Linked DNA regions of Rattus norvegicus. Each later gene encodes a partner of the first gene's protein in a complex. Links are inferred from orthologs where the notes say so. Each region holds a gene or a part of one and is shown on either strand. Other genes may lie near its edges.

Region 1 (15,986 bases):
GGGAGAGGAGAGGAGAGGAGAGGAGAGGAGAGGAGAGGAGAGGAGAGGAGAGGAGAGGAGAGGATTGGATTTCTGGACTCACACCTTTTATCCCAGTACTCAGGATGCAGAGGTAAGCAGATCTCTGTGAGTTTGAGGCTAGCCTGGTCTACATAGCAAGTTCCAGTCTAGATAGGGCTATATAGTGAGACCCTACTCAAAGAACAGACAAGTAAACAAAAAAAGAAAGAAAGAGAAATACGGAAAGCTGGGCGTGGTTTTTCATATCTGTAATCCCTTTAAAGGCAGAGTAGCAAGCCTGACGGTGGTGGCCTGGGCTTGTGAGTCTCAGCTTCTTAAGGCAAAAGGAGGTGGCCCGGTAGATGTCTCGGTTGCTAAGGTGTCTGCTGCTCAAGCATGTGAACTCGAGCTCAAATTCCTAGCATTCATGTAAAACGCCAGCTGTCATGACACATGAGTGTAATCTCCTTGCTGGGGAAACAGGTCTCTTGCTGGCCAGTCTAATGGAACCAGTGAGCTCTAGTTTCAGTAAGAAACCCTGCCTCAAGACTAAGGTAGAGGGAGACACATGACACATGACACTGATCTCTGACCTTTCCACAAATGTTCACACACACTTATATATAAACACACACACACCCCTTCTCTCTCTCCCTCCCTCCCTCCTCCCACTCCTTTCTCTCTCACACACACATATAAAGAAATAGAAATGTCAAAAATCCATCTGACCCTTTCTTACCTTCCTTTCTACCTCCAAAGGTAATCAATATGGATTTTTTCTTTCTTTTTATTTACTTACTTTTATTTCACATTCATTGAATCAAATCCCCTACAACTGGAATAACACAAAGTTGTGAGGGCTGGGTATTGAACCTGAGTCCCTTGGAAGAACAGCCAATGCTTTAACTGCCCATCTCTCCAGTCCCCTGGAATTTTTCTTTCTTACTGACGTTTTTGTTTTGCTTTGTTTGAAACGGTCTCCATATGTAGCCTGGAATTCCACACTAACCTGGAACTCCCTGCCCATCCCTCTGCTCCTGCTTTTTGAATCCTGTGCTTGCAGGCATGCACAACCACACCTGCTATTGGCTTTTGCAATAAACATTTTTTGAGTTTCATCAAACATTTGGATCGCCTAGCAAGATTTGACTTCTTAACTCTGCATGAAAGTAACCATACTATATTTCTTCATTTACTCAATACTATCTGATATTTATCTGCTGTATTTGGCTGCTAGGGTATTCATCCCACACTCCCTAGGATCTTAGCCTGGGCCCCAAATTGCCAAAATCCAGTTCCACAAGGCACCTGGTACTGGGTCCTAGTGACAGGCAGGGGCCAATGGGAGATAGAAGCAAACAAAATGAGGTATGAGGTTTCACTTAGCAGGAAGGGACAATGAGCTGTGAAGAGAGGTGCTGGGGTGTGATGCCTGGAATCAGACTCGAAGGTTGAACCCCCACTGTCTTCCTTGGTGTGTTGAACCAAACTGTCTGCTTCGCCTCTTGTGGACCATTGCTCTGCTGACCATGGTGGTCACGGAGACCTTGAACGAAGGTGCATTTCATACCACCCCTCTACTGCCAGCTTGGGCCTGACACTGTGGATACTTAGCGCTCTCAAAGTACTCACTCCGTCCCGTCCCCGGGTGTGATGACGTGTCTGTGCATCAGAACACACCTTTGGCAGGGCACAAGGGGCTCCGACTGTTGAGTTTAGGAGCTATGTGCCCGTCCCTGGGCTGTCTCTGGGTTGTGCTCCTTCTGTGTTGACTTTGCTGTGGGTGTTGATGTTTTTCATGGCATGACCTCGGTGTCTTGGAGCATCTGAACACATCTTGCATCTCTTTGTCTCTGTATCTCTGTCTCTGTCTGTCTCTGTGTCTCAGGATCTGTGTATATGTGTCTGTCTGTCTGACACTTGTACTGATTAGTTTTTCTCAGGAGAGGAATGAAAAAAAGATTTCGACTGCCAAGTAAGGTGTGCACAGAACATTGCAGTTGGGGCTGGAGAAATGGCTCAGCAGATAATGATGCTGTCAGCCACAAGTGAGTTTTTAACCCCGGGCCCAACAGGTGGAAGAAGAGAACTGATTCCCACAGCTCGTCTTCTCATCTCGACATGCCCAGCCTCACAGTCAGATAAACAGATGAGGTAATTTGTAAAATATTGTGTCTGTACCTTTGAATTATATCTCTCCTGGGGACTCACCCTTCTGGCTGCTGTGCATTTGGGTTTACTCCTCTGGGCTGTGTGTGTGTCTAGCTCCTTTCAGAGGTCTTGCCCAGGACAAGGCCTTGTGCCTTTGGGGAGGATGGAAGAAGGACTGTCTTAGTCTCATGGCCCCCATGGATTTAGAAGGACAGCCAGCCACCTCTAGCCACCAGCAGTCATGGGACTGTAGGCTGGGCCTTCGGTGTCATACCCATGCCCTGACCATGTGTAGTTCTTCTGTGTGCTGAGATCATCAGGGTACTGTTCCCCTTCAGAATGCTCCCTGGTACCCCACGCCCTAGCTAGTCTTAGGGTGTCAGCACTCTAACTGCGTTTCTGTCCTTTCGTCACACGTGTAAGGAGTCTGTGGCTGTGCTTAGGAGTGGGGAAGGTGGTCCCTGTCTACCTGAGATTCTACAGTGTTTGAGGATCCATATTGGAGAGCTGAGTCTCGTGTGCTCAGTAGTGCTTGGGCCAGGATGGCAGAGGTCATCAGACGTGGTACTGTGTGTGCTGTGTCATCTGTGGAGTTCTGAGAGTCACTGAGAGCAAAGTGAGGGTCCGAGTGGGTGAAGCACACAGAAGAAAGCAGTGTGAGAAGCAGAACTGGAGATTTATTGCAGCAGAGGTGGCCTGTGACCCTGAGGTGCCTCCACCATGCTTGTCCCCGTGGGGTGCTGCACACAGTCACGTTCTTTCAGGGGACCTCAGGAAGCCCAAAATTGCAGCACGGCTTCGGGGGAGAGGGAGGCACAGTGGACAAGGAGGGTGAGCTTGGCACCAGCCTCCTTCTCCCAGCAGTCAGCCCTGTGTGATCCCAAGTCCTTCCAGGAAACTTCCACCACAAGGGGAAGCTCCAGCCTCTCCTTCCTATACCCCATGCTGACCTACGGGCTGAGTCAGGAGAGGTCTAGCAAGGCCTCTACCTGACTATACGAGTTAAAATGACAAAGCCAGGGGGGCTCAGGCTTTGTGTGGGATGCGGCTATTATCTCTTATTATATTCCTATGGCTGGGGGCTGGTGGTGAGGTCCACGTGGTATCCAGAGATTCTGGTTTGCTTGTACTGTTATGCTCTCGTATCCAGGGTTAGGACATGGTGCTGGCCACCACCTGGCAACAAGGCAGGTTAGTCAGGGGCACTTGAGGTCCAGGCTGGTCCATGGCTGTCCCTTTAGTTTTTCCCATTGCCAGTTAAGAATAGTGTTCTGACCTAGGGACTCAGACATGGAGTAAGAGGGGACTCTTGCAGGGAGCTCCAGAGGGAACAGAGGGTTGGCCCTTGAGGGAAGCTGAAGTACCCATGCTTGCCTTCCTGAAGCAGGGGCAGACAAGTAGCGAGGGGCACTCACTATGCCTTCTGGCTTCCTACCTTCCTAGCAAGGAAAAATGAGTGATTTGGGACTGGGGTCAATCTTTCTTTAAAATTTAGGCAATTTTCGACCATGCATTTTTACATTCATATGACTTTTAAAAGATATTTATGTATAAAATTATTTTTTCCTTTGGAGACAGGGTTTGTCTATGTAACCCTGGCTGTCCTACAACTATGTAGAGAAGGCTGGTCTTAAACTCTCAGAGCTCCACCTGCCTCCTGAGTGCCGAGATTAAAGGTGTGCATCCCCATGCCTGACTCGAACTTTATTCCTGTTTTGGTTTTTTTGTTTTTGTTTTTGTTTTTGTTTTTTTTTTGTTGTTGTTGTTGTCCTTTTTTTTTTTCCTTTTTCTTTTTTTCGGAGCTGGGGACCGAACCCAGGGCCTTGCACTTGCTAGGCAAGCGCTCTACCACTGAGCTAAATCCCCAACCCCATTCCTGTTTTGCTTGCCCCTGCATCTGGCACCTCTGCAGGGCCATTACTGATGGCCTGACTGCACCCTGATTTGCGCTGTAGAGGTGTGAGTACAGAAGGAGGTGTAAGTGTTGTGGCCACCTACTGAGGGTACCTGGTACTCATCCCAGGGTGGGCCATACACTTTACCTAGACCCAGCCTTGAGTGAGCTCTCATCCATACTCACGTCAGAGAGTTTCTGACTCATTGCCTGATTGTTAGAGGCTCAAACCATGGTTTGTCTAGTTTTGTTGTTTTGGAGGACTGTCTTACTCCCAGAGCCCAGGCTGGTCTCCAGCTCCTCCTGCTTCTGCCTTCCAAATGCTGGGATTACAGGCACGCACTGCCACACGTAACACTCCTTGGGACGTTATCTTTTGGTTTTGCTTTTATCTTTTTTTTTTTTCTTTTTTCTTTTTTTCGGAGCTGGGGACCGAACTCAGGGCCTTGCGCTTCCTAGGCAAGCGCTCTACCACTGAGCTAAATCCCCAACCCTGCATTTATCTTTTTTTTTTTTTTTTTTTTTGGTTCTTTTTTTCGGAGCTGGGGACCGAACCCAGGGCCTTGCGCTTCCTAGGTAAGCGCTCTAACCGCTGAGCTAAATCCCCAGCCCCCCCTGCATTTATCTTATAGTTCTGAAATATCACCAGTACACAGAACAGGGGACATAACACTCGTGTTCATTTTCATTGAGAGGATACACGTGGAACGCAGGATATAACACGTGCTAGATAACCATCATTCTATTATTTAGTTACTTCTGAAACCCTGCTCAACTCAGTCAAGAATTTTACCTCTGAGACCAGAAAATGAAAATGTCACCTTCACTTACAAGCTCTTTCATCATCATCCTTCCTTCACCAAAGATTTGATATAGTGATTCATCTTTACTATTGACTTTTCTTTTTTAACCCTTTGGTGTCTGCTTTGGTGTCCACTATGTATACAAAGCAAGCACTAGACCAATGTTGCATCCCCAAACCTGTCGCACCCCCAAACCTGTCACTAATTTTTTGCAGTACGTGGTTCCTTGGTTTTCTTTCTAATTTAACTGTCTCTATAGGGATCCCTAAGCAAGAATTTACTTCTGAACACGAATGGAAGAAGTGTAGGACTGCAATCCCAGCACTCAGGAGCTTAAGGCAGAATCACCGTGAGCCTGAGGCCATCTGGGCTACAACGGTTAATACCAGGCTAGCCAGGCACACACAGCAAGACACAAACATAAAAATCCTGAGAGTAAAAAACTGTTTTGAGGGGTTGGGGATTTGGCTCAGTGGTAGAGCACTTGCCTAGCAAGCATAAGGCCCTGGGTTCGGTCCCCAGCTCCAAAAACAAAACAAAACAAAACAAAACAAAACAAAACAAACAAACAAACAAACAAAAAGGTTTTGAGATGAGTTTCTCTGTGTAGCTCTGGCTGTGCTGAAACTCATTCTGTAGACCAGGCTAGCTTGGACCTCAGAGATCTACCTGCCTCTGCCTCCTGAGTACTGGGATTAAAGGCATGCACCACCATGTGATTCTGTGTCCATAGTCCGGTGCTGAGATTCCTCTGAACTACTGCTCTGGCTCACTTTCCCTGCTGTGCAGTTGCAAGAATTTAGGCTCACACTAGGAAACACCCGCCTGTACTGCAGGGTCTCACAGACAGCTGTAAACATTTCCTAAGGTCCTAGTGCAAGTATTCAGTCTCTTACAGGCTCAGTCCTAAGAATGGAATTGATGGCTCATGGGGTGTGTCCGTTTTGCAAAATAATACTCAGCTGTTTTCCCAGAGTGCTCATAGCAATTTACTCCCACCAACTTGGGATCAGTTCCTGTTGTTCCATTTGCTTAACACTTGATGTTATCTGATGTGAGACCTTTGACCTTTGCCAGTCTGGTAGGCATGGGGGCACTTGTTTTTCTGATTTCTAATTGAAGTGAACCCATTCTATCCATGTGATACTTTAAAATCCTCCCTTGGGGCTGCCTCTTAGCTCCTCTACCAAGTTCCCTAAGATGCTGTCCGCTTTGCTTTTTTCAGTACTAGGGATTGAACCTGTGGGCTCACGAACGCTAGGCGTCCTACCACACAGCTATATGCCCAGCTGTGTCCCTGCGTGTGTATGTGCCTGTGTGCGGTGAGGGGTGCTCCTTTGCCTAATCATGTGGAGGCGAGAGTAGGATGCGAGGCATCCTTTATCATTCTCCACACCACTTGCTGCTTCAGCCACGGCCGGTCGGCCAGGAACTGCTTGGGTTCTCTCTGCCCTGCAACAGGGGTGATGGTACTGAAAGAACCTGCAACCAAGCCTGCTTTAGGTGGGTGCTATGGATTTGAATTGGGTCCTCTTGCTTTCATAGCAAGTGTGTAGTCCCTGAGCCATCTCCACAGACCATTCTCTTTAGGAGATAAAATCGCATGCACCCTGGCCTGGCCTCAACTTGCTTTGTAGCTAGGGATGACCTTGAACTTCAGATCCTCACTCATGTCTAATTAGTGAAGCATGTGCCACCACAAGCCCTGTACCAACTTAGTCAAGTCCCAGACACTTCCTTACCTGCAGCTCTGATAAGAATTCTGGGTGGGGATTTTATTGATAAGGATATCCTCACCCACGCTGTGTTCATCTCTTTACTCAAGTTTTCAATTAAAGTTTCTAGTTCTAATAGACAGACCATCTTTTATTTTCTCGAGGCAGGGTTTCTTTCTCTGTGTAGCCTTAGCTGCCCTGGAACTCACTATGTAGACCAGGCTGGTCTCAAACTCACAGAGAGATCCACCTGCCTCTACCTCCAAGTGCTGAGATTAAAGGCATGCACCATCACCACTAGGCAGAACAGAGACCATCTTATTAACCTTCCCTTTATTACGTGACCACGGAAATTGTCTCTCCTATGCCCAGTCTCGTAGTGTCATCACTGCCTTCCTGGAGAGCAGACATGCAGAGAAGCATCTCATCTGTACCACAAGCAAGTCATTGCTCAATGACTTTCTTTTTTTCTTTCTTTTTTTTTTTTTTAAGCTTTATTTGTTTTATCTAAGTACATGGTTGTTATCTTAAGACACACCGGAAGAGGGCATCGGATCCCATTACAGGTGGTTGTGAGCCACCATGTGGTTGCTAGGAATTAAACTCAGGACCTCTGGAAGAGCAGACAGCGGGTTTTTTTTGTTTGTTTTTTTTTTTGTTTTTTTTTCTTTTCTTTTTTTTGGAGCTGGGGACCGAACCCAGGGCCTTGAGCTTGCTAGGCAAGCGCTCTACCACTGAGCTAAATCCCCAACCCCGCAGACAGTGCTCTTAACCACTGAGCCATTTCTCCAGCCCACTCAATGACTTTCTGTTGGAGGAACAAACACCAAGCAGGACTCCTTGTTACAGCAGTACCCAGTCCTCTCAACCCTCATCTATCTGAAGCTCAGAAAGCATAGCATGGGTTACATGACATAGGAACACAGGCTCTCCAACACTGAGCTCCACTGGCTGTTTTCTTGCAAGTTCAAAGGCAAATTAACTTTTCTGAACCCCAAATCTCTTCACCATTCCAAAATAAAAAATTTAAGAAACATAAAGATACTAGTTTCAGGGGTGGTTCACAGTATAAGCCTGAAAACATTAGAACTGGAACTCATTTTTCAAGTTTAACCATTTCCTTCCATTTCTACAATAGCCGGGCAAACAGCAAAAGCCCTACCCATTCTTCCCAGAGGCTAAAAGAGCACATGGTGTGATGACTGGCAGGTGAACTCTTCCCCACATCCTATTCACCCACTTCCTGGTTCCTTTGACTCCCACTGACTTTTCCACCAGGTGCCGCCTAGACTGTTGACTTGACATCTGGAAGCCTATAGCCTACATGGCTCCCAGGAAGAAAAAAAAAGTCAACCCACACTCTCTCCCACATTATTTAGGAATTGGGACACCCAGGGTGCCTGCCCAAGGCCCACATGGCTAGGGTGGCTCCCTCGTGGGAGGGGAAATGGAAGGACCCAGTTTCGGTGTGCACCGTGTTCAGCAATGGAACACAACCCAGCCCGTCTGCTCTCTGACACAGACCAACAAGTATGAAGGCCACTAGCTTTATTAATTTAAAAATCTTTTATAAAGACAGTGACTGTTTTTGCCAAAAAAAAGGAGTCAAAGGGCATCCAACAGATGGTGAGGGAGAAGGAGGCAGTAATCCATTCAGGAAGGCTGGGAACTGCTGCCATGGAACTGTAGGGGGAGGGGAAGGGGAAGGCATGCGAGGGCAAGAAACCCAGAAAGGTTGAAATGCTGGGGGGAGAGAACTCCCAAAAGACCCTGGAGTACATAGGAGATGAGGGTGACAACAGCAATCTTTTCCTTCGTGGAGGACAGGGAGGCACCCTGCCCTGCTGCAGACTCTGGAGATTCTATGCTGTGGCTAGGGGGGCTGAGGGGTCCCCAGAGAACATTACAAGAAGGCATCACACCATTCTCGAAGGCACCCAAAGCAGTCCCGGGACTGCTTGGCATTGGCACCACATGTGTCTTTTAGCCATTCTCGAAAGAGGTCTTCATCTTTCTTTAGTACCAGAAACTGGCCAAGGACCACATACGCCTGCAAAACAGAAAAGGGTATATAGTTAGCTGAGTGTCTTATGGGCTAAAAGCAACAAGCCTACACTGATACCACTCTGAGGGTTAACTGGTAAATATTTGAGAAGGCAAGGCCATTTTTGTTTTGGCTGTTTTAAGACAGGGTTTATTCCTTTGTTGCCAGGGCTAACATTAAATTCCACGGGAATCCTCTTACCTCAACTTCCTAACTGCAGGGGTCATAAGCACAACCTGCTGTGCCTAGTTTCATTTTTGTGACATTTAAAACACACAAAAGGGCAGGGCACAATGGGACACACCTTTAATCCTAGCACTGAGAAGCCCTGTCTCAAAAAAAAAAACAAGGGGTTGGGGATTTAGCTCAGTGGTAGAGCGCTTGCCTAGCAAGCGCAAGGCCCTGGGTTCGGTCCCCAGCTCTGAAAAAAAAAAATTTAAAAAAAAATTTAAAGCAAAAAAACAAAACAAAACATGAAAATGAAGGAAGTGCCTGTCTCCCCAGGTACACCCAAAACACTTCAAACTATGTATTTCTGTCCTCACCCTCCCCATACCCCTACTCTCCTTCACTCCCAATTTGCTTGGTAACATCTGTTGCCAACCTTCACTCCTACTCCCTGGCATTTGCAGCCACCCCACACCTTGTCAAAGCCCCTTTCCTCCAGCCTCTTGCCCAGGGCATCACCAATCCCGGCCAGGCTCCCCACTGGCTTTTCCCCCATGGGCTCTGCCACGAAGTCTCGGTGCTTTTGAGAGGTTGTCATCTTGATCAGGATTAACCTGGGAATCACAAAAAAAAAAAAAAAAAAAAAAAGCTGGTTAGGGCTGAAGACCGCAACTCCAAAGGGCAGCTACTGTGGCTGCTTCCTTAAGTCCCCTCATTAAACTGGGGACCAGGGAAGGTTTCCCTCCCTCCCCCACTATTCAGAAATTCCCACTTTTGTGGGTCCTGGGTTTGGGTACTGACCCGATCGATATACTAGCTTGCACTAACAGGTGGTGCACGTAAGGCAATCTATAGATTCCCAGACTCAGTAGCCAAGGCCCACCCTGAAGCTCTCTCGGTGACCTTGGCTGGACAGACACTGACCCCGTTAGGAACTACCACGTGGTAAGAATAGCAAGAGGCTCTCGCTACACTCGCCGCCCTCCAGAGGCGGACAAGCGCGGCACACTCGCTCGAGGGGCCCGCCTCCTCTACGCCTCTCTGGTCCCGCAGGCCCCGCCCCAAGCGCGCCGCCCCGCCTCCTCCACGCGCCACCGCCCCTACATGCCGCGCACCGCCCCTCCCACAGACTCTGGCTGCTCCACTGCAAAGGCGCGCTTCTGCGATGGACTCCTCTCCCTCCCGGCTCTGCGCGCCGCCACTAACCCTCCAGCCGGAGCCCCACTTCGCTTTCTCACGCTCACCAGCAGCTCCGGCTCTGGTAACGGCTCCTCGCGCCACTCAGCTACTCCCGCCGATACCTCAAGCAGCTAGAACGTTCTTCGACTTCCGCTTCCGGGTCGTTTTGTGCGCGGCCTTCAAAATAATCCCCAAATTGGGCACGTCTAGCCCCCTTGAGTCATAGAGTTGAAGCGCAATCGCTAGCCGCCACGCCCACGGTAGTCGCTGTTTTCCGGTCCCTTTCAGGAAGCCACGCTGCTTTCGATGGATTTTGTTTCTCCGGCGGCCCTTCCCGTCTGTGGGATTGACGCTTCCGAGGAGAATACTTTTTCCTGTCTAGCACCTGGAACTTGGGTTTGTCTGACTTGATGGAGGGAAGAGTTAAAGGAACGGACAAAGAGGGGGCGGGGCATCCGGAGGGCCTCTGAGAACCCCGGAAGTGCAATTCACGGCGCGGTTTCCTCAGAGTCAGGTTTATCACCTCAAACCTGCAGACGGAAGGTAGGAACACCGGAGGTTTGAGACCGAGCGTCCAAACCGGCGCTACCGTCGTCACCACCTGCAAGTCGCATTTCTTTGCTTTTTGTTGACTCACTCTTGAGGTGAGTCGTGGACGAGCTGCTTTCACCGTCAACCTGGAAAACGGAGCTTGCTTGTGTAGCGCCGAGCGGGTGAGTGCTGTGGGTGGTTCTTTGCTCGAAGGGTCTTTCTGCTTGAAGCGTCGTGATGGTCGCCGAGTCAGTCTATGCCTGTGATGTGTTAGGAGGTCCAGCGTTGTATGGCTCTCCTAGACTTGAGAGATGTTCACGCATGTGGAGGAACGTAGTTTGTCTTAAACTTCTCCCAGAAAGGTTGTCAGAGCGATCGGCCTGGGAGGTGCGTGTGGTTTCATCATCACAACAGTACTTAGAAGTAGAACTCATAGGACTTCCCCTGTGCTGGGTGTTTTTCCATGATCTCATTTTATTTACTTATTTCTTGTTTGTTATTGAGAGGACATCTCACTACGTAGACCAGGCCGGCCCCGGGCTCCACAAAGATTCATCTGCTTCAGCCTCCATGGATTGGGATTAGAATGTTGAGATTTAATGGTCGAGCCACCCTTACATCTCAACCGATACGATAAAACATGTGTTTCATGGTTTGGTTTGGCTTGGTTGGTTTTCAAGATTTGTTTTTAAGATGGGTGGTGTTGCAAGTGCTCTTGGAAGACAGAAGTGGGCGTTGGATTCCCTAGAATTGGAGTTAAAGGTGGTTGTGGACCATCGACGTGGGTGTTGGCTCGTAAAACATCTCTCTAGTCCTTAAAGATCATGCCTGTTTGTTTTTGGTTTAAGGTCTCCCTATGTAGACTAGGTTGGCCTAGGACCCAACAAATACCTGGCTACCTCTCCCTCCCAAGTGCTAGGAATAAAGATGTACACCAACACCTGACTAAGTTTGTGGTTTAATGATTTTATTCATTTTTTAATTTATTTTATGTATGCGAATACACTAACCTGTCCTTCAGACACACCAGAAGAGGACATCAGAGCTCATTTCAGATGGTTGTGAGCCACCATATGGTTGCTGGGAATTGAACTCAGGTCCTCTGGAAGAGCAGTCAGTGTTCTTAACCACTGAGCCATCTCTCCAGCCCGATTTTATTCGTTTTTTTATGTATACCAGTGTTTTTACCTGCATGTGTGTCTCCAAAAGAGGGTGTTGACTCCTCTGTGACTGGAATAGGGGAAGTGAATTCTGAGTGCTGGGAACCTGGTTCTGCCAGAGCAGCAAGTCCTGCAGTCCCCTCAAGTGCACGTTTTTAACAGGGCAAGGTGGCACTTTTTCGTATAAGGCTGCTTCTCTTGAAAGCAGTCCTGGCTTCTAAGACTGGCATCCAAATAATTCTGGAAGAAGAGCTGACAGTCCGTGCACCCTAACAACCCTGGACAATAACCAGCATGTCTCAGGCCAGCAAGAGGAAGCATGTGGTGCAGGAAGTGCTGGGGGAGCACATGGTGCCTTCTGACCAACAGCAGATAGTGAAAGTGAGTGATCCTGGTCTCCAGGTTTCTGTCCTCCCGATAGATACTCCCATTGGACCCCTGGGGTGTGGAAAGGGAGGGCTCAATGTAGTTGAAGAATGCTTGATTTAACTGATGATGTGGCTGGTTCATGCTCTTTCCTGGACCAGGTCCTCAGGACTCCTGGGAACAATCTGCATGAAGTAGAGACAGCACAAGGGCAGCGCTTCCTGGTGAGCATGCCCTCCAAATACCGCAAGAACATCTGGATCAAGAGAGGTTAGAAACATCCCTCTACAGTCAGAACCATGGCCTTGATTTCCCCTCCACAGCAGGAGTGGCTTTATCCTTTATCACCTACAGGGGACTTCCTCATTGTTGACCCTATTGAAGAAGGAGAAAAAGTGAAGGCTGAGATCTCTTTTGTGCTCTGCAAGAACCATGTCCGCTCTCTACAGAAGGAGGGTCACTGGTAGGATGGTCTTAATTACTTGTCCTCTGGCTTCTGGGGATAGTATCATCTTAGCTAGGGAATTGGGGAGAGAAGGTTATGCCATTCCAAGAGGGACGTTTTGAAACAGCTGTTTCATTGAAAGTTTTCTCTTTGCTCTCTAACCTGGCTCTTCTCTTGTCACAGGCCTGAGGCCTTTTCTGAGGTAGCTGAGAAACAAAACAATGTGAACAGGTAAGGAGCGAGCCCCCAGAACAAGAAGTACAAGTTCACACCTTGGCGCCTCAAGGAGAAACAGGATCTTGCTCTTTTCTCCTGTTGAGAACTATAGCACACATAATAGGATAGGTAGTTATGAGTGTGGCTAAAAGGTCACTTTTTTTCTTTTTTTCGGAGCTGGGGACCAAACCCAGGGCCTTGCGCTTGCTAGGCAAGCGCTCTACCACTGAGCTAAATCCCCAACCCAAGAGGTCACATGTTAAAATGCTAGCTTTGCTACTTAATAGACAGGTGAGTTTAGATGCTTTTTTTTTTTTTTAAGTATCTTAAGGAGGTTTCTAACTGGATGTGGCTGGACATCCCTGCAATTCTAGTACTCAACAAGGTAGTACTAGATCAGGAGTTTGAGGCCAGAATGGTCTACTCATAACAGGTTCAAAGCCAGCCTGAGGTATAGGAAACTTTTTCTCAGAAACAAACGAGTTCATATAAGAGACGGGATTACACAGAGAGTAAGATTGCTTAGTGCAGCAGTCCTCACCTGTGGGTTGAGACGCCTTTGAGGGTCGCATGTCAGATATTTAAATTATTATTCATAACAGCAAAATTACAGTTATAAAGGAGTAATAATAATTTTATGGTTGGGTTCACTACAGCATGAAGAACTGTGAAAGTGTCGCAGCATTGGGAAGCTGTTAGTACATCAGCTGTTAGGAAATGTGAGCTATGTGTCAGTAATGCTAGTGGGGTCGCTTCCTCACTCAAATTGATGAGGGGCTGGGTGGGAGGTAATCCCGAGTCTATTCTTTTTGACTGGGTTTCCCTATTTGCTCTGTTTTTCTAGAAGAATCCTCTCCCAGAATTTTTTGCTTTGTCTCCTTTATTCTTTTAAATCTTTTTTTTTTCTTTTCTTTTTTTCGGAGGTGGAGACCGAACCCAGGGCCTTGCGCTTGCTAGGCAAGCACTCTACCACTGAGCTAAATCCCCAACCCCTGTCTCCTTTATTCTTGAGTCAGGATCTCATGTAGCCCAGGCTGTCCTCAGACTTAGTCTTCTGCTTTCGCTTCCTAAATGCCAGGCATGTGCCACTGCATAAGGGTTTGGGGCTCTTGGATTTTCAGAAACCTGTTAGATTCTGATTGTTTAGTTGATGGTCCTGGTTTTTGGGACTTGAGATTATAGCTCTGGTTTCCCCAGAAGATGTTACTGTTCTGTCCTGCTCCCACAGAGAGAGTCAGCCGGAACTCCCCGCTGAGCCACAGCTGTCAGGAGAAGGGTCAGGTTCTGAAGATGATTCTGACCTCTTTGTCAACACCAATCACAGACAGTATCATGAGAGTGAGGAGGAGAGTGAAGAAGAAGAGGAGGAGGCGGCCTGAGCCCCAGGACCCACTTCTCTACTTGCTCAGGGACTACCCCTTGGCTTTTCTGGGTTTGGACATTCCCAGGGTGCCCTGCAGATCTTTTCCTTTGGATGGGGACAAAGCATGGCCCCTTTCTGAACTGACATAAAAAGAATTAAACCCCTGGTGGGTAGTGACTTACACTGGTGTCCGTGTGGCTCTCTGTAGAGGGAAGCTCATGGTGAAATGAAGTCTCTTCTATGGTGGAAGCCTTGGTCACGTGTGGGTAGAATGGGCAGGAAATGATTTGTCTGAACTCTGCTGCATTTATCTGGTTCACAGTACCTCTCTGGACACTTGATACCTCACCCTGTGCTGTGCCTTACTGGGTCTTCCTTTATACCTGCTTATATTCAGCAGCTATTCCAATAGTTAAGCGTGCAGTCTAGGACCTCGGACCCACTTGCCTCTTAAGCACAGCTCAGGACAAACTCCTGGTGCCTTGTTATCCCTTACTGCAATAGTGCTTACTGCCTGCCGCTATGCAAACAAGCCTGCATCCCATCTCTCTTCACCTTCGTCACCTGTCATTCCCAGAACGTGTCTGTGGTCAGGATACCTCCTTACCATCTCCTGATTTTCTTTGACTTTCTCTAATTTCTTCAGGGTATTAATTTCCTGTAATCTTTTTTTTTTTGAAGCTGGGGACCGAACCCAGGGCCTTGTGCTTGCAAGGCAAGCGCTCTACCACTGAGCTAAATCCCCAACCCCAATTTCCTGTAATCTTGAGGTTGTCTCTAACCCAGGTTTGCTTCAAAATCACTGTGTAGCCTAGGCTAACCAACTCAGTGGCTGTCCTGCCTCACAGGCATGAACCTGTGGGGCTACTAACCTTTTGTTAGAGGCTATTGTAATGTCTTTACCCCTTGTACCTCAGCATCAAAAGACTTCTTGTGGTGACTCAGACCTTTGCTCATGACTACCTCTGTCCATTTACTTACTCCCATTGTTTTAGTTCAAATATCCTTCAGTAGCCCAGGTACTCACTAAACTGTGCAAGCTTCTGTGAACTGTGGCCTCACTTATTGGGAGGCTTCTGCTTCTGGCTATACCCTGCTAGCATTAATCCTGCCCCTGCTAAATCCTATTGAAACTGACCTCTCAGCTTAGTCTTGCCCCTACTGGTCATTCATCCCTCAGTGGAACTATTCAACCCTGTTGCGTACTCCTAATGTGCTTGTGTGTATGTATTTTCGTTGAAAACTTGTACTAATGGAACTTCTACTTTGGAGCCTTCCTTTTGTCTTCTGACGAATTTTGTTTTTTTGGAGGGGGGCTGTTGTGGGTAGTTGGTTGAGCTTGGAGGCATGCATTAGCTTCATAGAATCTCATTTCTGAGCAGGAAATCCTGCAATCACACCCTCTCTGACTCTCATTTATGTTCGTCATGTTTGCCTTTTGTGGTAGTAAATGTATACTTGGGTATACACATGTATAAAATATAGGTGTATATACATGGAGAAATAAACCATATGGGTTAAAGAGAAACCTATCTTTAACTTCTCTGAATTTTTTTTTTATGAAGAGTTCTTTTTTGTTTTTGTTTAGTACTGAGTATTGAACCTCAGGCCTTGGGCACATGGTGTGTTAGACTGGTGTTCTTACCGAGCTAAATCCACATTAGGAGCTCTGTCATTAGGAGAAATAACTTCCTAACTAGAGAAAGCCATTTGCCCCTAACTCATTCATTAAAGGGCTCATTCTTTTCTCATTGATACTACCTTTTAAATTTTTCAGATCAGACAGACATGTTTAGTGCACACCTTTAATCTCAACCCCAGTACTTGGGAGGCAAAGGCAGGCAGATCTCTTGAGTTCTCGGTTAACCAGAGCTATAGAGTCATTCTGTTAGCAGGCATTATGGCACATGCCTTTAAGAGAAGTGTGGAGGCAGAGGCACAATTATCTCCT
Region 2 (15,966 bases), on another chromosome or scaffold:
GAAAACTGTGGGGATACTCCCAACCACCCTCTTAAGTTAAGAGGATTCATTTTACCTATATGTCTTTCCCTTGGTAGACTCCTTCCATCTACTTTCTCTGTGTTTCAAGCCTCCCCAGAATGTTAAAACTGTTTTTCCAGAAAGGCAGGTCTTTATCCCTATTTCTCAATTCTAAGCCCAGTGGCTGGAGCTGGAGAGATGGCTCCGTGGTTAGAGCACTGGCTGCTCTTCTAGAAAACCTGGGTTCAATTCCCAGCACCCTTACAACTGTCTATAAGTTCAGGTCCAGGGGATCTGACACCCTCACACAGACATGAATGCAGGCAAAACTATGCACATAAAATTAATAAGTAAAAAAAGACCAGTGGCTGAAGAAGGCCTTGGGTTGGCTAACATGTCATGCCCAAATATGGTTGACTCTCCCATGGCCTGGAGTGTCTTCATTGCCTGTGGTGACACTATGATAGGACTTTGATCATAATGGGCATCACCTTTCAGCATGGTCATCTTGAGATTGTCTATAATATTACCAGTCAAATAACATTTTCAGTAGAGAACCACCACCCCATCCCATCACCTACATAAAGAAGAAGATATCCTCTCCTTTTCTGTTTTCATAAGTGAGCCAAAGGTTGAGTTGGGGGACAGGATGGCAGAACTGTGAAAGGGTAACCCAAATGGAAACTTCCAGTGATGTTATTCAAGACACGATTAGGGTAATATTTCTGGTCCCCCTCACCTATTGGAGAGCAAATCCCCATGTATGGAATTGCATCAATAAATGATTTTCCACTCAGTGCCATTTGGGTGGATCACCTGAGTTCATCAATTTACAAAGAACAAGGAAAATTGAACCATAACACAGAGAGAGCACAAAGAACTTGTGTTTCCCAGCCCTATGATTTGGCTATTTAGGGAGAAAAAGGGAATTGGGTGGGGGGACATTCTGTGTGGACAAGTGTCACCACCAGATGTCGCTCCATCCCAAAGACCCAGATGGGGCAGCCCCAGGAAGCCAAAATCCAACTCTTTCATATTTTCCCTTATTTGGAGTAGATTCTTGGATGTTAGACACACCCCGCCCACCTCCCCACCCCATTCCTCTCAGACCCCAGGCCAGGCCCTCCCACAAAGAACTGTAGGCACAAGCCCACCAGCTATATTGGGATCCTGAAGAGCTATTTCTAGACCTCTGTAGCCAGGGGGCGCCAAGGAGGAAAGGAAACAGAAAATCCCCAAAGTGAGACCAGTGCCCTTAAGGCAAATCCAGGTGTGGCAGAAAAGTACAGTGATTTCCTGAGCTCTCACCTTGGCCAGACGGTCTGGAGCTGCAATTGACTGCGGGTGGATTTCACCCACTTTTTCTGGCCCCAGTCTGGCTTTGGGATCTAGGAACGCTGATGCTTATGTCCTGGCCGGCAATGACCATCATATTCAGAACCAACCTGAGACAGGACCCAGACTGAAAATCTAGCTGGCCATGCCCCTCACAGCCCTGGAATCAGCTCCCCATGGCCAACCCAACAGGGAACTCTTGTATCCACCCTTATTTCACTTCTCTTGTGTCCATGCTTGACATTGGCTGAACAATGTCTTTCCAAGTTGTCACTCATCCTTATCCTAATCAGGGTACTAGTCTCAAAAGACCTTTCCCAGAAAGGTACACAATGACCAACCAGTTGATGGGTGCCCATGCCTGTACCCATCTCCTGCCAAACGCTCAGATACCAGCCCCCTTTTCAAGAACTCCTCCCTTGGGCTCGAGCTCCCAGATTCCTGGGCATAGACACAGTAAGTTTGTGGCAAACTATGCAAGGCTATCCCTGGACACCAACGCGATGCCTGGGACCTGAGTCCACACCCAACCTGCACCTGGCCTTGGCCTCTCTGACTGCTTTCCAGAATTCTACCCAGTTGAGGAGCCGCACATCCACTATCTGAGGACTATTCGGCGTGGAGCTGACCACAGAGCCCTCACCTGCTGTCCCTGCAACCGCGGGGTGGCGCCCAGCTCTCCACGCCTGCGCCGGAAGCCTGAGAGCTCCACTGGCGTCCGCTGCGCGCCGCGCGCCTCCACGCGAATGAGCCGCTGCTGCCCGCCTTCTTGTTAGCCGCATCCCCGCCCCACTCCCGCCCCGCGCCCGGCCCGGCCCGACCCGGCCGGGCAAGAAAGCCTTAATTGGTAAAAATCGCCCGGGAGCTGGGGGCAGGGAGGGGGTTCTGAGCGCACCACGAGCTCCAGTGCCCCGCTAACTGGCGACACCGCCCCCCAGAATGAGCTCAGCACTCTATGAAGGCTGCCAGGCTCACCTCCAGAGCAGGGTCTGCAAACCCTATGTTTAGGCCCAACCTTTAAGGGACTAGATGAGTGTAGGGGAGCCAAGTGTTTCTTGGCTGGAAAGGGGGCTCTGTTCCAAAGCCACCTATTCTGGGGAGTTCCTCACAGTCACAGCCTTCTGTCTCTGAGCAAGTCTGGGTTGGCCACACTGGTACTATCTTGCTCCATGGGATGAGAGATAACGGGTACCCTGAGCCATGTGATGACACCCCTACCCCTAGCCCCAGCTAGGATTGATTTGGTCCCAGTTAGGTGCCTGGGAGCAAGCAGAAGAAATATACTGAATTCTCAAAGCAATCAGGTGCAGTCCTAAAGCCTGGGAATGTGGAATGTGGTACAAAGAGCCAACTATCTGTGAGCTTGGTGGGCATAGCCATTAACTAATATTGTCAAACTCTCTCTTCCTCTTCTACATGGCCATTTCCTGGTAGTTTCAGATTCAACTCAAATATCACTTCCTAGGGGAAGGCCACATAAAAAAATGCCATTTCAACAGTTCATTATTTTATTTTTTCCCTACAATCCCAATATGAATTACATTTGTATCATGCCAACATATATACACACAACTGAAATAGATAGTGCAAATGAGGTTTTCCTTACCACCTACAATATATTCCAGTGTGTGTGTGTGTGTGTGTGTGTGTGAGAGAGAGAGAGAGAGAGAGAGAGAGAGAGAGAGAGAGAGAGAGAGCGCTCAGGCTGATTAGGAAATCACTATGTAACACCCAAACTAGGCCTTAAGTGGAAAATCACCCTTATTTCTGCCTTCCAAGTGCTGGAATAACAGTCCTGTTTGATTTCTTTTCCTATTTTATATTATCAAAAAGAGAAGGAATCCTTGCACTCTGGAAGCTGAGACAAGAGTATTCCAAGTTACAGCTCAACCTAGGTTACACAGTAAGAAGAAAAAGTGAGGAAGGGGAAGAATGGCAAGCTACAAGGGAAGAAAGAAGAGAAGGGGAGGAAGGAAGGAATGGGAAAGAATGGGCAGTGGTGGCACACGCCTTTAATCCTAGCACTCTGGAAGCAGAGGCAGGAGGATCTCTGTGAATCTGAGGTCAGCCTGGTCTACAGAGTGAGTTCCAGGACAGCCAGGGCTACACGGAGAAACCCTGTCTCAAACAAACAAACAAACAACAAAGATGGAAAAAAGAGTGAGTGTGGGAGTTTGACCACATTTGCAGAGTCAATTTGGTGATCTGTGGTTTAACTTGAAGAGCAAAGTGCTGGAGTTTTCTCCAGGGAGCATGCATCCCTTGCTAACTTTGTTGGCTCTGCTGGCAATGACATTTCACATTCTGGTCTCCAGATAGGACTAAGGTCTCTTACTGTTCTATCTAGTGGAAAACCTCTACTAGGGAGGCCAGTGAGTTATCATTCTAGTGGCCTGATTTCAGGTTCATGAGGTGGCTGCACCAGAGTTCATGAAAATGACTGTCCTTTCAGAGGAAAAATCCATTTACCCTCAAACATGGCAATCAGATCAATGGGTAGGAAGATTGAAGGAGCATGAGTGAGGTGGTGAATATATAGTTGTATTTCAGGATGCCCCCCCTCAACACACTGCATTAGAACTCTCTTTATTGACCCTCTCAGTGCACACAAACTGAAAACACAAGAAGTTAGTGCCATCAACTTCTTTCAAGTCTATCATCTATGAAGATTAATCTTATGATTAACAGTTCCTTGGCTTTTAAAAAAGCATATTCTTAAAACATATTCTTCTTGTTCTGAAGAAACGTTTTCTTTTTTCTTTTTTTTTCTTTTTTTTTTTTTTTTCGGAGCTGGGGACCGAACCCAGGGCCTTGTGCTTGCTAGGCAAGCACTCTACCACTGAGCTAAATCCCCAACCCTGAAGAAACGTTTTCATGTAGACCTTTTCTCACAACTTTGGGGAGATAGCAGTTTCTGGAGGTTGAATCTAAAATTTATTTCATGCCAGCCAAGTGCTCTACCACCAAGATAACTACATCCCAAATTCCCATTTTACTTTTGATTTTGAGACAGAGTCTCACTAAGTTTTCCAGTGTGGCCTTGAATTCACCCTGAAGCACATGCAGGCCTTAAACTTTCAATTCTCCTACCTCAAAATCCTGAGTGCTGGGTGGAATTACAGAACCAACAATTTTCTTATTCTTAGAATGGGTTGCTTCCAAGATTTTTTTCCCAATTAGTCATACTGGCCAAGGGCTACTCCTCAGAATTTCCTAGAGACCTACAGAATGCCCTAGCACATCCTTCTAGCCCCACTGACAAATTCTAATTGAAGTATAAAGCCAGCCTTGCACCACCTAGATGACTTCCTGGGTAGAATATTTCCATGAATCACTCAACTTGAAGCTGTTGCAAAAGCTTCTTTCAACTCTGGGATCCTGATTCTTCTGCTGAATGATAGAGAAGAGAACTACACTGCAATAAGGCTAGATGTAAGGTCTAGGTCATCAGACAGTATGTGCGAGACCACAGTACAGCTTCCTGGTAACATCTGTGATAGGATCTTATAGTAGGATAGTAGGGGGATTAGGAAGCAGAGTGCTGAGGCAGGTACAGAGGGTGTTCCTTAGGGAAAAGGCAAACCTAAAATTCCTTGACCTCATAAGGAAACAACTTGATTCTGTATGGGGGGAGGGGAGTACTGAGCATTCATTCTGTATGCAGAGGCCTCTGGGAGAGGGGCCAGCACAGAGGGAGGGGGATGCTGGAAAATCTGATTTTGCCAAAACTAAAAAAAATAAAAAATAAAAAAAATTCATGAAGCAGCTGCTTAATGGGGAGAATGTCTGTCTCTCTGTGCTTCTCTGTGTGTCTATGTCTGTCTGTCTGTCTCTCTCTCTCTGTCTTTCTGTCACACACACACACACAGACACACACACACACTCCTGCCCAAGAACTTTCTCCTGTCTTTCCTTAACACAGTATCTTTTCCAGAGATTCTTACAGCTCCATTTACAGGGATAGAGAGGGCACTGTCTTTTAAACCCATCCAACAGCAACTTTTCTTCATTAAGCACTTTGTATGTGGTCAAAACTGGGCTCCACCTCCTCACCATTGCCTACTTTAAACTTCTATAGAGGACTGGCCAGTGACCTTCACTAAAGTGTCATCAAGGCCAGCCTAGAGCTGACCAGAGTATTCACTATCACTATCATTTAGAAAACCCATGGGTTGTAACCCCTCTAATAAACCTCTATCTCCAAAAATATTTACATTATGACTCATAAGAATAGCAAAAATTATCATTATAAAGTGGCAACAAAAATAATTTTATGATTGGGAGTCACTACAACATGAGTAACCGTTGTGGTCACAACAAGGGTCACAGCATTAGGAAGGTTGAGAATCACTGATTTAAGAGATCAGGCATCCCACACACCTTTTCTGCATGTACCCCCTCTTCTAGATGTCTCCAGTAAAGGGCAGCTTACACCTAGAGCCACATGACTTTTCGTAGAATATAATGGTCATGCTCACTCTTCAAGGCAACCTTTCTCTGATCCAGATCCTTAGTGAGCCTCCGTCAATTCCCATGGTTTACCTTTAGGCCAGCAGTTTGGAACCTCTGGGATACTATTCCTTTGGGTCTCACATATTAGATATCCTTCATATTAGATATTTATAATTTATAATAGCAAAATTACACTTATGAAGTACAACACAATAATTTTATGGTGGTGGTGGGGTCATCACAATATGAGGAACTGTATTAAAGGGTCGGCAGCATTAAGAAGGTTGAGAGATACTGCTCTAGGCTTTGCACACTGTCTAGGCCTCTAAGGTCACACCAAGCTTAGAGACTCTGCCAAAGAAGACTTCTCCCCTCAAAACTCCTCAGGGCCCAAGGTGGATGGAACAGTGAGTTAGGCAGGTACAAGGTGTACCCATCTACATGCATCACATAGCAGGCACCTTCTGATTGTGCCCATTGGCATGCCCTGGACCTTTGGAAAGCTGCTTGGTCCTACAGTGTTGGCGGCCTCTTGTCCCAGTGCTAGCCCCATTTCCTCCCGGATGGAACTAGGCGGCAGAGAGGACGGTGGGAATGGGCCTGTACAGGTGTGCAGGCCAGGGCCATGGAGCCTGTGAAGACCAGCGGAGATGGGTAGCGAGTGCCAGGGGTCTGTGGGTGGTTATGTAGGTGATGAGAGTCCTGTATGACAGCACTTGTGCACACAAAGAGCTCGCAACAGCGTCAGGCGCTGTGGAAAGGTTTGCTCTCAGGATTGGACTCTTCACATTGCTGTGGACCAGACTGTGGCTGAGAATCCTAGGCACTGGAAATCAGGATGAAGCCACAAAGGTGTGTAAGATTTCACAGCTTGGGAAATCACAAGCCAGTTTTGGTCCGCTGAGAACACTTGTCGCCCCTCTAGTACGTTGAGCTTTAGCACCCTCAGATAGCCTAGCTAGCCCCGCCCCTCAGCTGCCTAGCTCTCAAAGGAAGTCTCCGCTGCCCCAAAATCTCTCCCGCAAGCCCCTCCCTCTTCCTGTTCGAGTCAATCTCACACAAGTGTGACGTTTGTATTTGCCAGTCCAGCCTGCTAGACTGGTCTGTACTGGCCGCTCCGGCGGATTTGGGCCTGCCCTGAGGAGAGCGCGCAACCTGCGTAGCAGCGGCTGTGACGCAAACGTGACGGCGGCTTGACGCGCCCACAGCCGCTCTTGAGGCGCTGGCGCTTCCTCTGCTAGGCTCCGAGCTGTCTGTTTCTTGGGCCCTGTGTATAGGTGCCGGCCGCCCCTGGCGTTCAACACCGCTTCCAGGTGCCGGCCGTGTCTGCCATGGACGACTATGCGGTTTTGTCCGATACTGAGCTGGCCGCAGTGCTACGCCAGTACAACATCCCGCATGGGCCTATTGTGGGTATGCTGCAGCCGGTGGCGCTCAGAACCTCTCGGTCCCCCGCTTTCCCGCGCTCCTCCCTGAGCGTTCTTCCTACCTCCTCCTTCCCTCAGGTCCCCTCCCCGTGTTCCCTTGTGCTCTTGGGGTGCTCGGCTCGCACCCGCTGACCGCTTCGCACCCTGTGTCTGGGCAGGCTCCACTCGCAAGCTCTACGAAAAGAAAATCTTCGAGTACGAGACCCAGAGAAGGAGGCTTTCGCCCCCCAGCTCGTCATCGTCTTCATTCTCCTATCGGTTCTCAGGTGAGGCTCCAACTGCACAGCCCCAAAGAGCAGCTTGGGGCACAAGGCGCAGGGAGGGAGGGTGTGGCTGAAGCTACTGAGGGAGTAGGGGGAAGTCTGGAGATTGAAGGTCCTGTACCTTCTCCTCCACATGCAGACTTGGATTCAGCCTCCGTGGACTCAGACATGTATGATCTGCCCAAAAAGGAGGACGCCTTACTTTACCAGAGCAAGGGTAAGGCAGGTGTGGGATGGGCACTGATGTCTTTATCCCATGCTTCAGGGATTTGGGCACAGTGAAACTCCAGACCTCACCCCCTTGTACCAGTTCTCAGTGGCTTCAGAGAGAAGAAACTGGCACAGCACACACACAGACTGGGGGGGGGGGGCGGAAGGTGGCAAGAGGCCAGGTAAGGGGCACCACTTTTTCCTCTACCACTGTTTTCTTCCTCAAGACTATAATGATGACTACTATGAGGAGAGCTATTTGACTACCAGGACATACGGGGAGCCCGAGTCTGTGGGCATGTCCAAGAGCTTCCGCCGGCCAGGGACCTCACTTGTAGATGCTGATGATACCTTCCATCACCAGGTGAGTTGTCTGGTAGGCATACCTGGGGTGTATGTAGCCTTAGGGAATTCTAGGTTTGGATAGTTCAAGGAGATACTAGGTGCAGAGAGTGGATCTTAGGCCTTCAAGTATGGTTAGGATCAGCATACAGTTGTTGGCTCAAAAGTTCTACGTTGGAACCTCCAAAACTATTAGATTTGGGGATGAGCATATATAGCTCAGTAGAAGAGCATTTACCTATGGTTTCATCTCCAGCATCCAGCAGCACACACAAATGTTTTTGGGGTTTTGGCATTTTTAAAAATTTAATTACTTTAATTATACCTATGTGTAGCCAATTTTTTGTTAGTTTGTGGGTTCCCCTCACCCTTTCACCCCCAATCATTAGATAGAGAAAGAGAGCTAAAGATCCCTGAATCTAATTTCTTTCTTCCTTGTGTCTTCTTTGACCCCAGCTACTAGCAAACTGTAACCAACCTCACCTATTGGGGCTCTAGTATTTACATACCCTCTGAAAAATTCCCAGAATTCCAAATACCACAAAATTGCAGAAACTATCTGCAACTCAAAAGCATGAAGCAAATCATAGCTGCTGTAAAACAGCCCCATATCCCACATCTAGGGTTAAAATAAAAACATTCTTATAATATTTCTGTGTTTCTTAAGCCAAATTTCAAGAATTCTCACTACATGTATGTGTCTGTGGGTAGTATGCATGAGTGCTGGTGCCTACAGATGCCAGAATTGTCAGATTTCCCCTTAGATTCCCCTTAGAGCTAGAATGGCAAGTAGTTGTAAACTGCCTGATGTGAGTGCTGGAAAATGACCTTAGGTACCTAGGAAGAACAATAGGTGCTTTTAACCACTGAGGCATCTCTGCAGCCCACAAACTTTTATGATCTGAGCATATATAACAGCACCTGTACTCTAGGATGTAGGTTTAAGCCTCCTGAGAATCCTGGGGAATAAAAGGATGGTGGGACAAAGTTGACAAGGTTTGTAACTGGGTGGCAAGGCCCCACAGTTAAAGAGGGCATGGACCCAGAATGATGGGGGGGCAATTTTCTGCCCCCTACAATGTGACTAGAGTAGGCTAGCCAGAGACATTTGGGGAAACCATTCTTTCCCATTTCTAATCCTAATTATCCGGCAGGTGCGTGATGACATTTTCTCTTCTTCAGAAGAGGAAGGCAAGGATAGGTGAGTAGTGAACACATGTAGGGACAGGGACAAGTTTGACACTCAGACTCTCCTGCCTACCTGTCCCCTTCTTTTGCTACAGGGAACGCCCCATCTATGGCCGAGACAGTGCCTACCAGAGCATCGCACACTACCGCCCCATTTCCAATGTCTCCAGGAGCTCCCTGGGCTTATCATATTATCCTACATCCTCCACCTCTTCTGTGTCCTCCTCTTCATCTTCTCCCTCTTCATGGCTTACCCGACGTGCCATTCGACCAGAAAAGCAGGCCCCTACTGCTGCTCTGGGCCAGGATCGACAGGTCCCACTCTGGGGCCAGCTGTTACTCTTCCTGGCCTTTGCTGCCTTTCTGCTCTTTGTTTACTATTCCATACAAGCTGAAGAAGGCAACCCCTTCTGGATGGATCCCTAAGGGTATTGGTTTCAGAGCAGCTCTTAACAGGAGTTTTGGCTGACTGCCTTAGCAGTGTTTGCTGGGGGTGGGGGGTAGGGGCTTTTTTGTGTATTCTAGTTAGAGGGTACAGGGCCTAGCCTACGGCAGTGCTTGTCTCCACCTCATCTTGCCAAGGAAGCAGCAAATGCTGGCTTTCCACAGCCCAGTAGGCCCGTATGTACCTTCCTCTGGAGCCTCCTAGCCTTATTGCCTCTGACTCTTAGGGTATGGGGATCTGGTGGGGAGGACCTCACTTCATTAGAGGAAAACTTGGTGGTGGCAGTGGTAGTTGTCATGCATGCCTGTTTGTTGTCACCTTTTCAGGGGGTATTAACAAGGCCATCCTGGCTTTGCTTTCGTGGACACAATAATAAACATGTTTATTTTTACCTTGTTGTTTCTTCCTACTGGGATGGGAGCTGGGCTGCCATGGCACACAGGTGCTTGGTTTTAGGTCTCAATAATCAGTGTGGCTTTTCCCTTTGGTTGTGCTTGGTCTTGGGGAAGGAATCAAATGCTACCCATAGATAAGTCTATGTTTTAGTTGTGGGTTTTATTTCTGGGCCAACTCCCTGAAATACTTATTATAACCACTTAGAAAAATAACTACCATGTAATTAAATGTGTAGATAAGCCTATGGGAAATGTAGGCAAAACTGCATATATGATCATATATGCAGATACTTTAGTCAGGAGAGGCTAACACCAACATCTGAGGTTACCAGGATAGAAAAGATATGAGGCATCATGCCAGTACATTGTTCAGCTCCTGGGATTGGTGGCATGATAATAAGATTCAAAGGCTACAGTGCACCCATGGCTATTCTAATTCTTTGCCTGTTTATTCTTGCTCAGTTTTTAGATTTTCTTTGGAGATAATCTTTTTGTATACTGCGTTAAAATGTTTCTGTCCTTCCTTATCTGCCTAAGGTACCTACTGATTGGTTTAATAAAGAGCTAAATCGAGGGACTTCTGGGCATAGAGAGGGACTCTGAGGTCAGCTAGACATGGAGGAAGAATAGGTGACTGGTACTGAGGATCAGTTGTGAGCCATGTAGCAGAATGTAGAATAGTATAAATGGGTTGATGTAAGTTATAAGAGCTAGTTGGGGGTAAGCCTAAGTTAAGGCCAAGCTTTCATATTAATGAAAAGTCTTTGTCATTATTGGGAGCTGGCACTGACCTGGGTTGCCAGATGTAACCAAGCTGTCTCTTTGGTACCAGTTCCCAATAATGACATAGATACCTTTTATTATGAAAGCTTGGCTTTAGCTTGCTCACTCTCAACTAGCTCTTAATTTTTTTAGATTTACTATTATTTTATTTATATGAGTACACTGTCGCTCTCTTCGGACACACCAGAAGAAGGCATCGGATCCCATTATAGATGGTTGTGAGTCACCATGTGGTTGCTAAGAATTGAACTCAGGACGTCTGGGAGAGCAGTCAGTGCTCTTAACTGCTGAGCCATCTCTCCAGCCCCCAGCTCTTAATTTAACATACTTCTACATTCTGTCAGGTAGCTCATTACCTCTCCTCAGTCCCATATGTCTCAAATCTTCCACCTCTGACTTTCCCACAGTATCCCTTTCTGCCCAGAAGTCCTGCCTATCCTCTAAACAAGTCAGGAGGTGCATTGGGCAGGTGAGGAAGGACATACACACCTTCACACAGTGAATGATTATCCCAACAGTTTTTCTATCTTGGATACATAGTATATAATATTAAAAGGTTTTTTTTTTTAATCCAGGCATGGTGCTACACACCTTTAATCTCTGCACTTAGCAGAAACAGAATGATCTCTTTGTTTTTTGTTTTTTTTTAAAGATTTATTTATTTATTATATATAAGTACACTGTAGCTGTCTTCAGATACACCAGAAGAGGGCATCAGATCTCTTTACAGATGGTTGTGAGCCACCATGTGGTTGCTGGGAATTGAACTCATGACCTCTGGAAGAGCAGTCGGGTGCTCTTAACCGCTGAGCCATCTCTCCAGCCCCAGAATGATCTCTTTGAATTAAAGGGTACCCTGATCCAGGACAGTGTCTCAATATGAAAATTTAAAAAATTAAATTCTGGGCTTCAGAGATAATAACTCCGTGGTTAAGAATATGTTGCTCGGGGCTGGAGAGATGGCTCAGTGGTTAAGAGCACTGACTGCTCTTCCAGAGGTCCTGAGTTCAAATCCCAGCAACCACATGGTGGCTCACAACCACCTGTAATGGGATCTGATGCCCTCTTCTGGTGTGTCTGAAGACAGCTACACTATACACACACTCACACACACACACACACACATAAAAAAAAAGAATATGTTGCTCTTTCAGAGGACCCAGGTTTAGATCCCAATATTCACATGGTGGTTCATAAACAGTCTGCAACTCCACTCTCAGGGGAGCTAATGCCCTCTTTTGACTTCTGTGTGTACTAGACATGCATGTTGGGTATTATATAAACATATGAAAATGAATAGCTGTACATATGAAAAAAATCCTTAAAAAAAAAGTCTTGGGCTGCAGAGATGGCTCAGTGGTTAAAAGGCACTGACCGCTCTTCCAGAGGTCCTGAGTTCAATTCCCAGAGGTCCTGAGTTCAATTCCCAGCTACCACATGGTGGCTCACAACCATCTGTAATGAGATCTAATGCCCTCTTCTGGTGTGTCTGAAGACAGCTAGAGTGTACTTATATATAATAAATAAATAAATAAATCTTTTTTTAAAAAAAATCTCAAAAACAACAAGAAATCCAAGATAGAGTTACATATTTTTAAAAGCTCATTTCTCCTGTTATCTCTCTTCTTAACACAGCTTATTTTTAGGGTTTTTCCAGACAGGGTTTTTCTTTGGGTAGCCGTGGTTCTGCTGGAATTGAAGATGTAGATCAGGTTGGCCTTGAGCTCAAAACTCAGAGATCCAAATGCTGAAATTAAATGTGTGTACCACCACTGCCAGGATTAACAAAATAGTTTTATTAATTGAGATTTTTTTGTAAATTTTATAGAATATATTATACTTTTTCCTGGTAACTCCCCTTAAGTCCATTTAGAATTGTTTGTATGTTCATGTACTTAGGGCTGACCACTTGTAATTGAATAACCTATCAGAAATCTTGTGTCTAGAGAGGAGTGATTTTTCTCTCTTGTAGAAGATCTAAGTTCATACTCCCAGGACCACATGGTGGCTCACAACTGACTATGACTCTAGTTCCAGGGATCCAATGTTCTCTTCTGGCTTCTTTCTGTACCCAGCATGCACATGGTACATACATAGACATGAAGTCAAACTACTCCTAGCCATAGTTTTATTTTAATTTAAAAAAATACATGAGGATGGCTAAATGTGTAAAGAAAATTACCAAGCCTAATAATGAGAATCAACCTCTGTAAATCGTCCTCTGACCTCCATATGAAAGGCATGGCAAATAATATATTTTAAAATCTGTGTTTGTTATTTTGAGTCAGGATTTCTTTGTGTAACCCTGGCTGTTCTGGAACCCACTTTGTAGACCTGGCTGGCCTTGAACTCTGAGATTTGCTCGCCTCTGCCTACTGTTACTTTAAAGTGACCATAGGGCCAAGCTTGGTGGCACATACTTTTAATCCCAGCACTAGAGAAACATGGGCAGGTGGATCTCTGCATTCAAGGCCAGCAAGGATTACACAGTAAAACCCTGCTTCAAAAAATAATATATGCGGGGTTGGGGATTTAGCTCAGTGGTAGAGCACTTGCCTAGGAAGCGCAAGGCCCTGGGTTCGGTCCCCAGCTCCGAAAAAAAGAACCAAAATAATAATAATAATAATAATAATAATAATAATAATAATAATAATAATAATATATGGGGTCTGGTGAAACAACTCAGTGGTTAAGAGCCCTTACTAATCTTCAGACAGGTTCAGTTCCCAGCATCCATGTCTTACATCTCCAGTACCAGGTGATCCCCTTCATAAATATCTGCATCTATGTGATGTGCACATACATTTTGGTCATACAAAAATAATATAGGCCTGGCAGTGGTGGTGCAAGCCTTTAATCCCAGCACTCGGGAGGCAGAGGCAGGAGGATCTCTGACTTTCAGACCAGCATAATCTACATAGTAAGTTCCAGGATACTCAGGGTTACACAAAGAACCCTGTTGCCAAAAAAGTTTATTTAAAATAAGGTCTTCCTATGTAGCCTAAACTAGCCTGGAACTGACTACCTCTGCATCCCCAGTACTGAGATCATAGTCATGAACCACCTCTGTTTAATAACATTGTTTTGTGTATTTGAAATAAAAAGGAAAGGATACAGGCTGGTAATATACATGTGTAATTCCAGCATGAGAAGCTGAGGAAGGAGGATTGTTAAAAGAGTGGAAGGTTAGTCTGGGCTATATGAGCTCCAGGCCAGCTAGAGCTACAAAGCAAGACTGCCTAAAAAATAGTGGATATAGTGGTATACATCTTTAATCTTAGGGAACTGGACATCCTCTTCTGACCTGCTTGGGTACCAAGCACACACCCAGTGCACATGCAGATAAAACACACACACAAAAAAAATTTAAGTGTTTAAAATAATGGGAGTCGCTTAATTTTACTACTGTGAATAGACACCATGACCAAGGCAACTCTTTTTTTTTTAATAAGTGCTCTTTTTTTTAATAGATTTATTTATTTATTATATATAAGTACACTGTAGCTGTCTTCAGATACACCAGAAAAGGGCATCAGATCTCTTTACAGATGGTTGTGAGCCACCATGTGGTTGCTGGGAATTGAACTAATGACCTCTGAAAGAGCAGTCGGGTGCTCTTAACCGCTGAGCCATCTCTCCAGCCCCCCAAGGCAACTCTTATAAGGACAACATTTCATTGGGACTGGCTTACAGGTTCAGAGGTTTGGTCCATTATCATCAAGGTGGGAGCATGGCAGAGTCCAGGTAGGCATGGTGCAGGAGGAGCTGAGAGTTCTACATCTTCATCTGAAGGCTGCTAGAGGAAGACTGACTTCTAGGCAGCTAGGGTGAGGGTCTTATTTCCCACACCCACAGTGGCACACCTACTCCAACAAGGCCACACCTCCTAGGGCCACTCCTTGGGCCAAGCATATACAAACCATAACAGAGTGATGGAACATGCCTTTAATCCCAGCACATGGGAAGCAGAGGCAGGCAGATTTCTGTGAGTTCAGCATGGTCTGCAGAGTGAGTTCCAGCACAGGCAGAACTACATAGGGAGACCCTGTTTTTAAAAATGTGATTATGTATGAGTACTCTGTTTGCATGTACATCTGTATGTCAGAAGAGGGCATCAGAGCCTATTATAGATGATTGTAAACTACCATGTTTACAATCTGGAAGAGAAGCCAGTGCTCTTAATCACTGAGTCATCTCTCCAGCCCTCATAAAATTTTAAAATAATAAGTAAATATGGGGTTGAGGGTTTAGTTCAGTAGTAGAGCACTTGCCTAGATAGAATGCTTGTATAGCAAGCATAATGTTCTTGGTTGAACCCCCAGTACTACATAAGCTGGGTGTAGTGGTTCACGGGGTAAGTATAGCACTCCAGAGATGAATACAGCAGAATCGGAAGTGCAAGATCATTCTCAGGTATATTAGTAGTTCTAGAACAGCCTGTGATTCTGTGACTGGGGAGACAGTCTCAGAAAAAGAAATGATCCAGAGAACCAATGCTCTTTTAAAAAGAAAGAAATAATGCAGAAAAACATGAACCAACTAGTCATGGCAGTGTGATACACACCTGCAATCCAGCACTCTAGATATGGAAATAGGGATGGCAAGGTAGAAGCCAGCCTGGGCAACTCAATGAGATTGTGTGTAATACTCCCAAAAAAGAATGAGGTGGGTTTTGTTTTGTTTTTTAACCACTCACAGCCTGTTTCTCTAGTTGCAAACCATTTCCACTGACTGCTTCACCAGCACCCATCATCGTACATGTAAACCAGGTTACTGCCTCCTGCTCCTTTCCATCTTAGTTCCAATGTTAGGTACTGAAGTCTGGCCCTAGCTGCACAGTGTTAAGTGTTGAGCATGCTACTTCCTTATAAGTCATTCCTAAGGATGTACAAGTTCTGCCATTGGTTCTGAATATGGGATATCAGAATAAGCAGGTAACTTCCCAATAGCACCTTAGAAGGACATGGTGACAGCCTCCTGCTGAAACAACTGCTTACATGGTACACTGAGGAGAGACTTAATGTTTGGAACCAGGCAGAAGCAGATAGGACATAACACCTATACTGGGGCCTGTGGTAGTATCAAGGTTGACCTCCCAAAGCTCTAAGGCAGTAGGTGGTGAGGGG

What was found.
Region 2: the proteins of Banf1 (region 1) and Emd are in contact, whole or in part, in a crystal structure (PDB 7NDY), measured with the Homo sapiens proteins. The link is inferred for Rattus norvegicus from reciprocal best matches to the Homo sapiens genes BANF1 and EMD. Residues at the interface, in NP_001137457.1 of Homo sapiens: Arg37, Phe39, Gln48, Val51, Leu52, Lys53, Asp55, Leu58, Glu61, Trp62, Asp65; in NP_000108.1 of Homo sapiens: Pro22, His23, Gly24, Pro25, Val27, Ser29, Thr30, Arg32, Leu33, Tyr34, Lys36, Lys37, Glu40.

What each region holds. Positions count from the first base shown.
Region 1 is NC_086019.1:212,093,453-212,109,438, forward strand, and holds Banf1 (barrier-to-autointegration factor), read right to left. Parts: upstream 10,101-15,986; 5' UTR 10,020-10,100; exon of another isoform or gene 9,982-10,019; intron 9,848-9,981; exon of another isoform or gene 9,577-9,847; intron 9,390-9,576; 5' UTR 9,374-9,389; coding exon 9,251-9,373; intron 8,614-9,250; coding exon 8,467-8,613; 3' UTR 8,071-8,466; downstream 1-8,070. Other genes in the region: probable RNA-binding protein EIF1AD, read left to right, coding at 11,940-12,026, 12,173-12,281, 12,366-12,474, 12,640-12,687, 13,901-14,051. UniProt on the Homo sapiens protein: Non-specific DNA-binding protein that plays key roles in mitotic nuclear reassembly, chromatin organization, DNA damage response, gene expression and intrinsic immunity against foreign DNA.
Region 2 is NC_086039.1:157,183,427-157,199,392, forward strand, and holds Emd (emerin), read left to right. Parts: upstream 1-7,011; 5' UTR 7,012-7,118; coding exon 7,119-7,200; intron 7,201-7,292; exon of another isoform or gene 7,293-7,372; coding exon 7,373-7,480; intron 7,481-7,616; coding exon 7,617-7,694; intron 7,695-7,914; coding exon 7,915-8,051; intron 8,052-9,183; coding exon 9,184-9,230; intron 9,231-9,312; coding exon 9,313-9,643; 3' UTR 9,644-10,023; downstream 10,024-15,966. UniProt on the Homo sapiens protein: Stabilizes and promotes the formation of a nuclear actin cortical network. Stimulates actin polymerization in vitro by binding and stabilizing the pointed end of growing filaments. Inhibits beta-catenin activity by preventing its accumulation in the nucleus.